Linked DNA regions of Saccharomyces cerevisiae S288C. The gene in region 4 interacts genetically with the main gene of each other region. Each region holds a gene or a part of one and is shown on either strand. Other genes may lie near its edges. The genes, in order: ECM3, FIT2, MGA1 and YOL162W.

What was found.
Region 1: mutations in YOL162W (region 4) and ECM3 together harm fitness more than expected from each alone (negative genetic interaction), as found in Saccharomyces cerevisiae (one large-scale study listed by BioGRID).
Region 2: mutations in YOL162W (region 4) and FIT2 together harm fitness more than expected from each alone (negative genetic interaction), as found in Saccharomyces cerevisiae (one large-scale study listed by BioGRID).
Region 3: mutations in YOL162W (region 4) and MGA1 together harm fitness more than expected from each alone (negative genetic interaction), as found in Saccharomyces cerevisiae (one large-scale study listed by BioGRID).

What each region holds. Positions count from the first base shown.
Region 1 is NC_001147.6:493,466-497,491, reverse strand, and holds ECM3 (putative ATPase ECM3), read right to left. Parts: upstream 2,366-4,026; coding exon 524-2,365; downstream 1-523. Other genes in the region: translation machinery-associated protein TMA46, read right to left, coding at 3,022-4,026. UniProt on the Saccharomyces cerevisiae protein: May be involved in cell wall organization and biogenesis.
Region 2 is NC_001147.6:1,057,594-1,060,511, forward strand, and holds FIT2 (Fit2p), read left to right. Parts: upstream 1-1,937; coding exon 1,938-2,399; downstream 2,400-2,918. Other genes in the region: FRE3 (ferric-chelate reductase), read left to right, coding at 1-87; YOR381W-A (uncharacterized protein), read left to right, coding at 830-997; FIT3 (Fit3p), read right to left, coding at 2,848-2,918. UniProt on the Saccharomyces cerevisiae protein: Involved in the uptake of non-siderophore and siderophore sources of iron. Has a role in the retention of iron in the cell wall and periplasmic space.
Region 3 is NC_001139.9:986,307-989,973, reverse strand, and holds MGA1 (Mga1p), read right to left. Parts: upstream 1,926-3,667; coding exon 555-1,925; downstream 1-554. Other genes in the region: 6-phosphogluconolactonase SOL4, read right to left, coding at 3,235-3,667.
Region 4 is NC_001147.6:8,284-11,329, reverse strand, and holds YOL162W (uncharacterized protein), read right to left. Parts: upstream 1,212-3,046; coding exon 564-1,211; downstream 1-563. Other genes in the region: YOL163W (uncharacterized protein), read right to left, coding at 1,224-1,733.

The DNA.
Region 1 (4,026 bases), 490 kb from region 4:
GTAAATTTGTCATGACTATTGGATGCTACTGAGTTGTGGAAAGACTCTAATTAATCTATATTAGAGATTAAATAATTATTTATAATTTTTGATTATAAACATGAAATAATCATGTATGTTTTATATGTAAATACGCTATACCACTTAAAAATTAATGAAAAGGATATTTATGATTCACAAATAATTAAAAGATCACCTTTTTTCGTTCCATCAGAAAATCTTATGTTCGAAAAAAGAAGAAAAAGATTAGTAACACTGAGAAGCTGCGACTAAATGTTATTTTTTTGAATAACAATCAAAAGTGAAATTGTATAAACAGAAGAAAAAGCATGAAGTTTTGTTTTCATTATTATTTTTATACTATGAAACTCTATAAAATCTGAAATAAGTGAATTCTACGTTGATAAAAAAAGACCAACAAACAACTATAAAATTACACCCTGATTCAGTTGTACGATGAAATGAAATTATGAGAATGAGAATGGGAATGCATGAATAGATCTTGTTTCTTCCTTAACGAACTTTATAATTTCATTTGAACTTTGATGAAATAAGACACCAAAAATGGTAAACTAACGACCATCAAAGGATATTGAAGCATCAAAAAGAAAGAGGTACATTCCATTTGAACGGGTTCAGTTTCGTCCTCAGGGGTATAACTTGCAGTGAAGTAGATTAAGGTGGTCATTGTTGGTAAGTTCCAAGTAATGGCGGTAACAAACAATAACATCTTGTCGTTTTCCCAATTTAGCCATCCCGCTTTCACTAGACGGTCACACCACAAGACACCAAAGATCGGCATGATACATTGTCTGAGAAAGACTAATACCACTGCGGATTTCCAGAAACCAGGGTATAATTTTCCAATTTTCAATCTACCAAGAGTAGCGCCTAAAAGAATCAAACCGAAGGGAACTGAAGCGGCTCCAACATAAGATGTAAAATCCATAATGAAAGTTAGAGCAGGTGCATTATCTGGGGCTTGTTTGATTTTTGGTGTATTACTGGTCGTAACGAAAAGGGCTTTTACCCAGGGAATAAAAGCGATAATCAAAGCCAGGATAACAGCCATGGAACAAGGCCTTAGACAATTTTTTAGAAAAAAGACGAAAAATTTTGTTAAGGGAAATTTCTGTAGCCATTTTGGTAAAGAGGAACCGGAAGTCTCAATATCTTTCTTACTAACAGTGGCATCTGAGGTGATTATTCTTGTTAGGTTGGAAGTTTTGACTCTTTGTAAAGTGGAGGTTCTAGTCAAATTTGGAGAAATAGTACCGTCTGCCTGCAAAACAGAGGGTGCTCCTTGGGAGCTGATAGAACTTTTCCTTCTTCTACCGTATTGATCAACATTGGAGTATTCACGAATTAAATCCGACATGCCTTCCGCGGGTAGTTCACGCATATCGATGGAACGTAAGGAGCCAGTGATGGAATTCCTGCGGTTATTATGAACATGTGATGTTCTTGACTCGGTAGTGTATGCTATTGGTTGACTTCTAGTTCTGTAAGTAGGATCGTTAAGCTCGCTTACAGATTGGGCATCCACATGGTTTGTGCGTAGTGAGTGTGTAATGCTATCGATAGAGACCACCGCGGATGAGTTCGAGCTCCTGTCATCTATTGCTGGAGGGGCAGTATGTGTAGGCTTGGGGACAGAGAGTTCAGTTTTTTCTTTTTTATTTTTCTCAGAAATGTAGCTTGCTTGTGAACTGTTAGGAACGGTAGACTCGTTGGGCTCTTTCAGGATATCTTGGTTGGATGAAGAAGAAGAATTGCCTTCAATTGGTTGTGTTGGCTGTTGGGCAGAATCATCATTGGTCAACGTATTTTCTTCATCGTCATCACCTTTGTAATGGAAATCGTTTTCAATTAGTCTGAAACCACCTAAATTGAAAACACATATCAAAAACATGGCCAGAAAGATGATAACGTTGGCAACACCTTTCTCACCTTCTGCTTCTGTAAATATAAACCCTTGGTCCATGGATTGCAAATAGGCGATGGGTAGATCGCTGATATTGGGAAACATACCTCCTGCAAGTATACCACCACGCCATCTCTTAGGAACAGGCAGCACACTGCGAACAATAAAGGCAAACCCCAAGCCAGTTGCGAACAGTATAACAGACGTCAGACAAATAATGCCGACATCTTTGATATCGTTATCTTCTATATTTGCTACGATTTTATTGAATGATAAACAAGGAAGCAGAATTGTTAAAACGATATCAGAGATGGACCTTGTGGCCTGAACGGTTAAGATGTTCATCTTGCATAAACCGAAGCCTACACCAATAATCAGATAGATTTTGATGATTGGTCTGACAGAGGCCCAGATGGCTTGTCCCAGTGTGATGTGTGTCATTGTCTACTTGTCTTGAACTTACTCTTTGTCTTCTATTGTTTTGTTTGTGTTGGTTCTATAATGCTAAACTTAACTATCTATGCCTTTTTATCTTCCTCTCGGTAATGGTCAACAATACGCAGTTTCTGTACAAATGTAAAGTCTGAAAAACCTAATATAAAGAAAAATTGCGAGGCTTCTGAGAAGAAATTCCGGATGCCCTATGATGAAAGTCTATATTAAAAACAATGAAAGGCCTATTATATAACAAAAATTACAAGCATATAATAACGGTGCAAGAGTAACAGATGGTAGCGTACGAAGGAGGGATGCGTCAAACATATATTCAGGCCCTCTAAGTATATAGCCTCATCCCCCGAGGCTGCAAAGAGATGCAGTGAAAGGAAGCTCAACTATCACCGATTGTGAAATAGAGAGCAAAACTCGAGCACTTTTAATCCCAGATATTGTCGGGCGGATCCGAGGTGAAAAAACACCTCAACAACGTGGGGGCGTGGGGCGTGGGATATCGAAAGGGGCAAAAAGACGGCAGATAAGCATGGGCCGCGGTCGTGCTGCGTGATCAGCTACATGACGTGACATGCTTTGTGTTGGTGTGTGTGCGTGTATTATATATACGGTGGCATATATACAGTTTAGTCTATATGAATTTTAGACTATGCGAGCGTGGCGGAGTTGGCTTTTTTGATGTCGAAGGTGGGGTTGCTACCGTCACCGTAGTCCTTGATGCCGCCGTCGTCTTGGTGGTCAGCCTTCTTCAAGGCATCTGTGAATTCAGTAAGATCCCATGCGGATCCCTGGGTGACGTCGTCTGGCATGTCGGCGTTGTCCGTCTCAAATGACTTGTTTTCGGCGCTCATCTTAAGAATGATTTCTCTACCAGTAGGTTTCCTCTTACTAGATAACTTCTTTTCAGCGTTAATCTTTGCGATGACGTGGTCCTTCTTCCATTGGGCGAAGTTGGCAATTGTTATTGGTGTTAGCTTGGATTTGTCTAGTTTCCCTCTTTCTGTTTCGATAAACTCCTCCAGCGTAATTTTTGGCTGTTTCTCGAGCGACTCCCTCTCGAGCCTCTTTTGCTCGTTGGTTTTCAGCACAAAGCCCTCTGGTAGGGAGTGTCTGTACATACATTTGTCACCTCCGTTAGGACAAATCCAAAACCAACCGTATTTACCGTTTTCCACGGCCTCGATGAAGTATTTGCATACTTTGTCGGTGGTGGTCTTTGGGTTACCGTGCTTCGACAGGATAACTTTTCTCAGCTTTTCTTCATCCCAGTTGTCCATTGTGTCATTTTCCTTTTCACTTCTTGTATCTTGGTATAAATCTTTCTTTTCCATTCTTCTACCGACGTTCAAGTCATGTGAGAACTTACATTTGGCACCTTTGTTACAATTCCCCAGTTTGAACAGAGCACAAACCATGGACTTGGGATCTACACCCGCACGAACCCTTTGGTCTGCTACAGGGTTGAATAGTGCTCTTCGTTCAGCTTCTTCGGCTTCTCTGCGCTTTTTTTCTTCGAGTTTCTTTAACCTCATCTCTTCTTTCTTGGGGTCGGATTGTGATTGCACTTGTTTGATGTATTTTTGGACTTTGGTAGAACGGTTCTTGTTCTTCATACCGAACGTCTTGTCGACATTATCCTTCTTCTTACCAGC
Region 2 (2,918 bases), 1.0 Mb from region 4:
GACGAAGTAAGGGATCAAACGGCAAATCTTGTTCTAGAGAAGCCTGCAAAGGCAATCGAATACTTTGAAGAATACCAAAGTTGGTAATCAATTACCTTATTTATTTCCTCACTATTTTACCTATCACAAGTATATATTTAATTGTTTTGACCTGAAACATAATTTATGTCTAGCTGCAATGAAGACAATTGATCGACTTTCACAAACTTTTTCAATCTACTAATCTTTGGAAGCATTTTTTAACTGTCTCCCACTCTTGTTCCATGACTTAAATTTCTCTTCCTCCAAATTAACTGAATTTTTTTTCTGGATTGATGTTCTTTCCAATTGTTGTGGTAATCCACAGCTGGTATAACATAAAAAGAAGTTTTTTGTAAAAAAAAAAAATTTCTCAGTAAGCATATAAGCCTCAGTGAAATAAAATTTTAACAACTACACGCTATTCTATTCCATTTGCCCTGCTTTTCTCGCTTCGTTATCACCTAACCACTAAGAACATACTAATAATACAAAATTTTTATCCACTTTTTACCAACAGATTTTCATGAAATATCCATCTTCTTTCCGAATTCTGTATAAAATGAAAGAGAGATTTTTTGCTCTCAATCCAGGCTCAAGGCTCTTGAGAACAGGTAATTGTTGTTTAGCACGTTTTCAACACATTTATCAGAAAACGACAGTTAAAAATAAGACGAGCGGCGTTATCATCCTGATAGTCACTAAATGAAAAGCAGGTACTTTTGAAGAGCACATGTAATATTTGCTCAACTGATAATACCTTCATTTTATACACACTTCTAATTTTTTTTTTAAAATCAGATACGCATTGATGTTCAATGTAGCATTACCATCACAAGACAAAAAATCAGAATTTTACAAGCAAAAGCGCTTATCTTTAAGGACCAACATATTAGATGAATTCTTAAGGGTTGCCAAAACGCAAGACAACAGGCAAAATAATTTCGTTTCTCAGTACCGAAATGACGAAATATACTGAGGCAAATGCGATCATCATGCCTTTGCGCCAAGAAACTCCCTTGTGAAGAACTTCAAACCGAAATGGGAAAACTTTGAGTTATTGACAGGGAATACGGAGGGGAAGATCACACTTAAATCCGTATGAGCCGCGCACATAATGGTATTCAAATACACAAGAACATTCATGAGCTATTTTTCATCCGTGCAAACGAATTTACTACAATTGGACCAGAGGGCACCATAACTGGAGACTTTGCTACTGACTCAACGTTGATGATGCGAGTAGTGGGTGTACTGTGATTTGCTCATTTTTTTTTTTATAGAAAGATTCGATTAATGAAAGTCACAGGAGACATTTTTACATAGACATTCCGTATATGTTGCGGGTATCGCGGATGCGGATTAGTGATGCCTTTAACTACATTTCATAGATTTCTGTATACCAATTGAAATGAGTGAAGTAAGCTCCTACAGTGAAATATCTGGGTGCTACTGACGCCAAGCCCTACAGCGATCGGAATGCGGGAACGGAAGTTAACGGGGCTTCCAGAACGGCGGAAGCGAATTGAACGAGGACGGCAAACAAAAACACCCAAAATTTCATTACTTAGAATGACCCTCAAGAGCAGGGTGCAATTTATCAAGCGATCATTGAACTAACTAAGTTCATATCCTGTATAGGATTTAAAACAATGCACCCTAAGTTCAAATGCACCCCCCCTCGCCCCGCAGCGGACCCTTGAACAGAGAACTGTTTCGAGGTTCACCCAATTGGATCACTTGTATAATTTGTAATCGAGTTCGGATAAGATGTATACGAATCTAACTGGGTGCAGTATAATTAGCATTTTATATTACCTAGCAATATATGTATAAAACAGGAATGTGTGCGTGCTTCAGGCAGAATTTTACGGTCCTTGTAAAAAAGTCTATCATAAAGCCATCACAAAACAATAATAATGAAATTCTCAACTATTTTCGGAGCTACTACAGTTATGACTGCCGTCTCGGCAGCAGCTGTGTCGAGTGTAATGACCACTAAGACTATTACTGCTACTAACGGTAATAACGTTTACACTAAGGTCGTTACCGACACCGCTGACCCTATCATTAGTTACAGTACCACTAGAACTGTCGTTGTCAGTAATAGTGATGCTACTTACACAAAGGTTGTCACCGAAGGACCAGATACCACCTCTGAAAAGAGTACAACAAAGACACTTACTTTGACAAACGGTTCAGGTTCATCAACCAACCTTTACACCAAGACCGTCACTCAAGCCGTCGAATCATCTACATCCTCCTCATCCTCCTCATCCTCCTCCTCCTCTTCTGCCTCTTCTTCTGGTGCTGCTCCTGCTGCATTCCAAGGAGCAAGTGTCGGTGCATTGGCCCTTGGTTTGATTTCTTACCTATTATAAGCTCGGTTTCAAACCAGAAAAAAGCTATTAGTTATCGTGTATAGCATATTTATAACTTATCTATGAAAAGCTAATATAATTGTCTTTCTCCTTCAAAAGGCTAGTAAAAAGGACTTTTTTTCATTACGTTTCTCAGTGACTTCAATGTAGCAGTTTTTCGTTTCATCATCATCATCGTATTATTATTATTGTTATTATTATTATTATCATTACTTTTATTAATATTAACTATTTTTTTAGTATGATTTCGGGTATATTTATTTTAATTAGATACTTTTAACCGTTTCAAACAATTAAAGGAAGACCAACGAACTTGAAACAGTATATATACATACATACTTAATGTGTGTTATTAAAATTTTTTTATTCTAACATAACTTCGAAAAAAGGCCAAGCCGCAAGGTGCTTCATAAAAATCGGATATCCCGCATGATTATTCACATATCATTTACAATAACATGACGGCAGCAAGGGCAGCACCCATCAAACCAGTACCAGCGGTGATGGCATCAGCAGCAC
Region 3 (3,667 bases), on a different chromosome or scaffold from region 4:
AGAAAAGGAGTGAAGTGCTTGCATAGAAGAGCAATACGTGGCAACAAAGTCCCGAACTTGCCTAAAAAAGCATAATTTAATTACATTTATTTAACTTTATTGCTCCTTCTTTCAAAAGTCGGAAGCGCGCGAGTAAAAAAAATTACAGAGCGAAGGAGAGGCGAAGGATAGATGGGGAACGAAATTATTGTTTTATTTTTCCTTTTTTGTTGGAATGTTAAGCGGATCCTTGCTAAAAGATCTGCTCTACTTTCTTACATTTGAAATTTTTAAAGTTTTCTCAAAAAAAAAAAAAAAATTGGAGAACAAGCGCAGCCGGAATGAAAAAGGCCATAATTTATGTTAAATTAATCATAAGAAAAATTGATAATAGCAAACATAGCTTGTGATTCTTTTTCTTTCGGTTTGTGAAATAATTGCATTCTTCCCCCTTGTATCTAGTATGCAAAAATATGGAGAATGTTCGTTCTTCCCTACGTTCACTGAATGTTCCTTGGTATCAACAGCGGTAACAGTTTGTTCAGTTGGATGCGATGTGTTCTGTTGAAAATAATTCAGTAAGATGCTGGTTTAGTGGCGACTTCACCTTTCGTGATTATAGGTATACTCTTGGGAATTATGCTGGACGTCAGAGAAGTTAAGGTCGATGATGTATTCGTAGTCTCTTGAAGGGGTAGGGCAGTTGTTTTAACAGATTGCATAGACATCCATTTACTTTCAAGTTGAATGATTTCCTCCTTGGAATTCTGTAATAGGGATAAGCTTGTTCGAAGGTCTTTGTTCATGGCATCATTAGTTAGAGTTTTATTTTCATCTTGCGATGCGCTGTTAATATGTTTTTCTATCAAATCAGTGATTGTTGATAGAGAGTTCTTTAAAGTTTGTATATGGTTATCCAAAGCTTGCCTTTCACTTATATTGCTTTTTTTGGGTAGTGTTACATTATTATTACAAACTCCTAAAGCAGGTGAGTTAGAAGCAGAGTTCGAAAGAGAGTTCATCATTGAGGGAAATGGAGTGGAGTAACTGCTATATGGCGGGACTGTAGGGAGCGGTTGCTGCTGCTGCTGCTGCTGCTGGGCAAAAGCTCCAGGATGATACGGCATTGGGTAATTAACAATTGGCAAGGAAGTTGTTTTCAGATCATCTGTCGAAGATAGTGTTCCTGATTTCTTCATCGGAGGTCCAGATAATGCTTGTGGAGAAAGTACTTGTTGCGGCTGCTGAGGCTGGACTATGCTATCTTGGGTGGAAAATTGATTGGGATAGTCATAAGAATTCATCATCCTCGCCGAGATGCTTTGCCTTCGCATCATGTTCACCGTGGGTTGTTGAGGGGGCAGTGAAGATATTAGGTAAGGTCCACTACTTTGTTGCTGTTGCGGTATACTGATATGTGGAGGACTTTGGGATGTTGAGTAATGGACGGGACTGCCCATAAACATGTTTGATGGTTCTCTTGCAGAAACTGGTCCGGATTGCTGAGAGAGAACATTTAACCTCGAAGCATCAACGTAACTGACAGATATTGGTGACAGTATATTCTTTCTTTTACCATCTTTTCCCACACCAGTGCTCTTTCTTTGGATTTTATTCAAGATACCGGCGTTGGCCTCTTTGAAGAAGAATCCAGATGGGTGGGTAAATTTCCATTCAACAAGTTCTTTAACGTTACCATTGTTGGCAGAAGATTGGTCTGGGGAAGGATGAGATAGTTTATGAAACCCGTACATGTGTAGTTGACGAACAAAACTATTGACATTTCCATGTTTGAAATAACGCTTCAGAACATGTGTACTAAAATTAGGGTCATATGGCTTCAAAAAAAATACCGTGTTATCAGTCGGAGACCAGTATATCCATTTATTTACTTCCGGTTCCAGAAGAATTGCATGAAGTTGGTGGACGAAAGTTTTAGGTTGCATGTGGCCACCGGTTCTCTGAGCTATTGTATTTTATGGCGTGGGTGAAAATTCAATATAGGGGTTACAGCTGCCTAACCTTAAAGCGTGTAAAGGAGATCTAGATCTTCTGCAATGATCAGCTACTACCAATATATATATATTGGAAAAAAAGGTAAGTAACGACGTATCAAGATAAAACCCCAAAGGAAGAAAGATGCAACCGAAAGGAAAGCATGGAAAACTTCGAGCTATTCACTACCTGATTACTTCAACGTTAATGAATACCCTAAACGTGATAAGTTTGTGCTTTTCCTTCGATATGGATATCTACTGCCTTCCATTTTCTGCTCTACGGGTCAACAACTGAAAGATTATTTTTTCGGTTCCTCCTTTTTCTTCTCGAAAAAAAGCTTAAATCTTTCAAAGACAAAAAAGAAAGATTGCACCAAATCAGCGCAGAAGGCAGCAACCAGAGAGACGGGGGCGCAGAGTCAACATCATATACGTAACAAGTTGTTCAGGGCGGATCGCTTCACGTCATACAAAGGCGCGGATATGCACTAATCTGCAAATCTCGCAGTCACCGTAAGCCCAAGCCAAAGCGAACCATCGGTGCTAAATCGGCCCGCCCGACTGAGACGCACAGATTCCTACGCAGGCTCTCCTTGTGCCGCCCACGGAGTATTCCGTTCACCCAAAAAAAAATAAAAAACGAAAGGGGCAGACCAGGGGCAGACCAAAGGAGGGGAATTACCGGCGTGGCTAATATTCCTTATTTTGCTTAGAGCACCTTCCGTTCCGCCGCCGCTGCTTCCTAATCTGGGGCCAGGAAACGTCTGCGGCGGGCCAGATTCATTCTCGAGCCAGGAGAACTGCGTAGCTTGCGATAAAGGGGCGAAATTAACCCTTCCATGCAGCTGGCCCGAAGCAATTTTATATTTCGTGTGCTCGCCAAAAAAAAAAACCCTGCTGCGTCCCTTATTCTATTTCCATGGAAATTTCCGTTAGCGCTGTTTTGCAGGTGGTTCCGAGTCATAGCATTAAGATTAACGCGTTGTAACGGTATCACCGGGTGAGCTATGTTTTTCTTTTAAGTTATGCAACCTTCGCGGAGGCTCGGTTGCTTACGGAACTTTTAAGGTTGAGTTTGCCTTCGGTACCCCTTTCCTTTCTGCTGTCAATTCTTCTAGAAGAACTGGGTTTATGCTTCGGGAGTAAGCTCCAACATACGCTGTAAAGAAGACAGTTGTCATTTATTTATTATTATGTAATGTAATTAAGGTTGTCTGTCGTGATTAACGGAGCCAGTTTCGTATAAAGACGAGTGTAATTAGCAGTTTTCAGGAATCAAGGCGCCAGCTTCGTCGTCGAGAAACCAAGTTACTTTGGTTCCGACCATTTCATTAACCAGCACACTAGGTAGTTCGCTATTTTTTACGATTAACACGTCATGCATGATAGCCTTTTTAGCAGCTCCCCTAACGAGAAAGCACACACTTTTAGCCTCGGCTACTACTGCTAATGTAAAGGTGATCCTGTCCTTGGGTGCCTTGGGCGAATTATTACACCATAAAACCTTGCGGTCCATCTCTTCTACAAGGTAATTAAATTCAACCCCGGGAAACAACGAGCATGTATGTCCATCTTCTCCGCATCCGAGTAAGATTAGGTCGAATGATGCAGGCAGCATGGAAGCGTATTCTTCGGCAATCTTTCTATTGGCCGTTTCACCGCCACCGATTAATGATTCGTTGATAGTGTAT
Region 4 (3,046 bases):
ATAAAGCTAACAGAGTATGTCCAATAAACAACAATGAAATTGGAAGCGTATGACTTCGCAGCACTTTGTCCTTCCATAAAAATGAGTCGCTGCTTCTTTTTTCATTTTTTGGCGCGTCGCGTCGGGCCGTATAGAATATGCGTCACTTCTAAGAACATGATTGCAGATCAGGGCAGTGCGAGCTACAAGTCATGGTATCAGACTCTCATTTAGAGACCCTCATTTTTCGACACGTAAAATATCAAAATTTTTGGGTTGGCACAGTTTTTTGTGGAACCGACCAAGAAAACCAAGATTTATAGCAAATTATAAATTTCAAATCTCGAATATTTAACTCAACAATATAGTGAATAAGCTCATCATACCCTAAACAAACCTAAGCAATCACCTAAACATATAATTAAGGAAAAAGAGTGATTAGTTCATAAACACCAACGGCAATAGGGTAAATATAAGTCCTTAATCCATCTTATTGAAAATAGTATAGAACATTAAATGAAAAAAATGATTCACAAACTTAAAAAATACATAACATGGAGATTGTATCCATATTTCTACATAGTTCAGTGATAGAATCTAAAATCGAGTCTACGTGAACCAGCATCACTAGTAGTACTTAGATAGTGGTCTTTTTCCTCTTCTGACATTGCATTCCACCTCTTATCCCTCTGCTTGTTGATATAGACATAAATCAATTTGCTACCAATTAATATTGGAAACATAAAAAGTGCCAAACCAAAAAGAACTCCATTTCCCTTACGATAGAGTGGGGCATCGCTTTTCGCATAAATGTTTGAGGATATGATGAGACCTGCTTGCACGAACATATTGTACAAGCAAGTAGATACTGTTCTTGTTTTAACTGATTGGGAGTTTCTAGAACACAAGGATACACAAATTGCATGGATATACGGATTATCTAATATTAAGGTAATAATTGCATAAGTTCCCCATTTATTAAACATTGTACCTTTCCAAAAGCGAAGAACTGCAAGAAGAGGAACAGTGTACAACGGTTGTAACAGACTCAAACCTAGCCTGTTATTACATTTTTCTGTCGACCATGTTAAACCAAACAGCAGGAGAATATGAAGAACAAAGTTAGGAATAGCTAGCAGGTTGGCTTGAAAGGTTGTGAAACCGATACTTCTCAATACCAAAGTCAGGTATGTGGCCAAAACGTTCGTAGGGATATAAGCCAAAAGGCCCATCAAGTAGATAGGCTATATATAGTAATCTGTTATCCCCTGCCATAACATTTTAAGTGACATACCTTGCCTATTGTTCATATCCCCTTTTGTCGGATCATCTCTCAGAATCTTGTTTACGATGATTTTTTCTTCCCTCTCAGTGAACCATCCTTTCTTGCTCCAAGGTTTCTTCGTTTGAACTACGGAGGGTACCATCAAGAAGTATGCACTGATACCGATGACTAAAGTGAAAATTCTTTCTATCAAAAAAAGCCATTGCCACCCTGCCATGCCACCTATCCCTCTCATGTGAAAAACCCCGAAGGCCACAATTGAAGTGATGATTTGTGTTAGAGATAGTGTCACCCAGAAGAACGACAGTCTTATTGACAATTCTGAAGAGCTGTAGAAGTACGACATCCAGAGAACCAAATCAGCCACAAAACCACCTTCAAATAGGCCCATAAGTGCTCTACATGTATAGAAAGAACTCTTCCCTGTCATTTTGCATTGCAACGTAGCCACTAGGGACCACGCTATCATTTGCAGAGGAATCCAACTATCAGCTCCTAGTTTCTTCGAAATGAGTTGTGAGGGTAATTCTGCACACAAGAAAGTCAAGTAGAATATGGTGTTTCCAACGTTATAATTGTTAGCATTTAAACCCAAATCATGCAATAAGTTATCGGCGACCGCTTGTGACAAATTACCTCGATCAATCTGCAAGGCCACAAATAGGAAACATGAAAGGGGAGTAACATGCCAGTCTAACTTTCTCACTACTTTTTATTCTTCTTTCTTAGTCCATTCAAATGTTGTATCAAATCTTTCAAGACATTCATACTTAGTGGACTCGTACAACTGTCTATAATACTTTTCCACAGCAGGATTTAAAAAGGGGTTTTCAGGCTTTCCAGAGAGTTGTCGGTATTGGGAATGTTCACCAATGAATAGAGAGGTTTATCAGAAAGGGACTCCTCTAACTGAGTAACTGTAGTTTCTACAGAGGCTTTTTCAGGCTTGTACTCAAACATAAATACGAAACAAAGTGTTTAGAGAGTGCTATATTAATTTGTGTCTGAAATAGTACGTTTATATACTAAGTATATTGGCTCAGGCTGCCTTCGGTTATCAGCAGTGTCAATAAAGATTTACATATCTGTGTAATGGATAAAAAACTCTATGACACCCCGATTGCTGTTGAATAGTCTAGGTGAGTATATTATCTTCAGCAGATGGCTTTTCCATCAGAGCCATTGTGAAGAAATCGGAGGAAAATTGTGGTCTATTCACAATGACAAGCGGTGAGCGTCACCCTAAAGAACACCGAAACTCGGCGAGCTGCCAGATAAGTTCTCTTTGTTTTGTCTTAGCTTGTGGCGCAGGGTCCTCTGAGTATTCTCTTACATCGCGCCACAATATACGCCACAAGCCCGAAACAGTTGTAATCACTATGAGTTTGTATTCCACCGTTAGTGTGAATCTATCTTTCCACTATTAGCTGGAATGTCGATGAAAACCAGGTGATGGAAAGTAGATGGTCTGAAACTACCATTTTGAAGAACGCAAACTTTATCGAAGTAAATCGAAACGGCAGATTCATTTGAATTTGAGATAACTTTAAATTTCAATTCACAATAGTAAATGTTATTAGGAAAACAGAATATACGAAAAGCTCTCTTCGGAAGTATAGGTGACTGTAAATAGAAACCTGTAGCTCCACCAAAGTATTATAGATTACTGTGTCTTCCTTTTTTAAACACTCTGATTCATTAGTTTCACTGTATATTAATCCGTACTTTTCCAATTGTAGTAAATACGATAACACCTCGAACCACACTTTACAAGCTTTATAA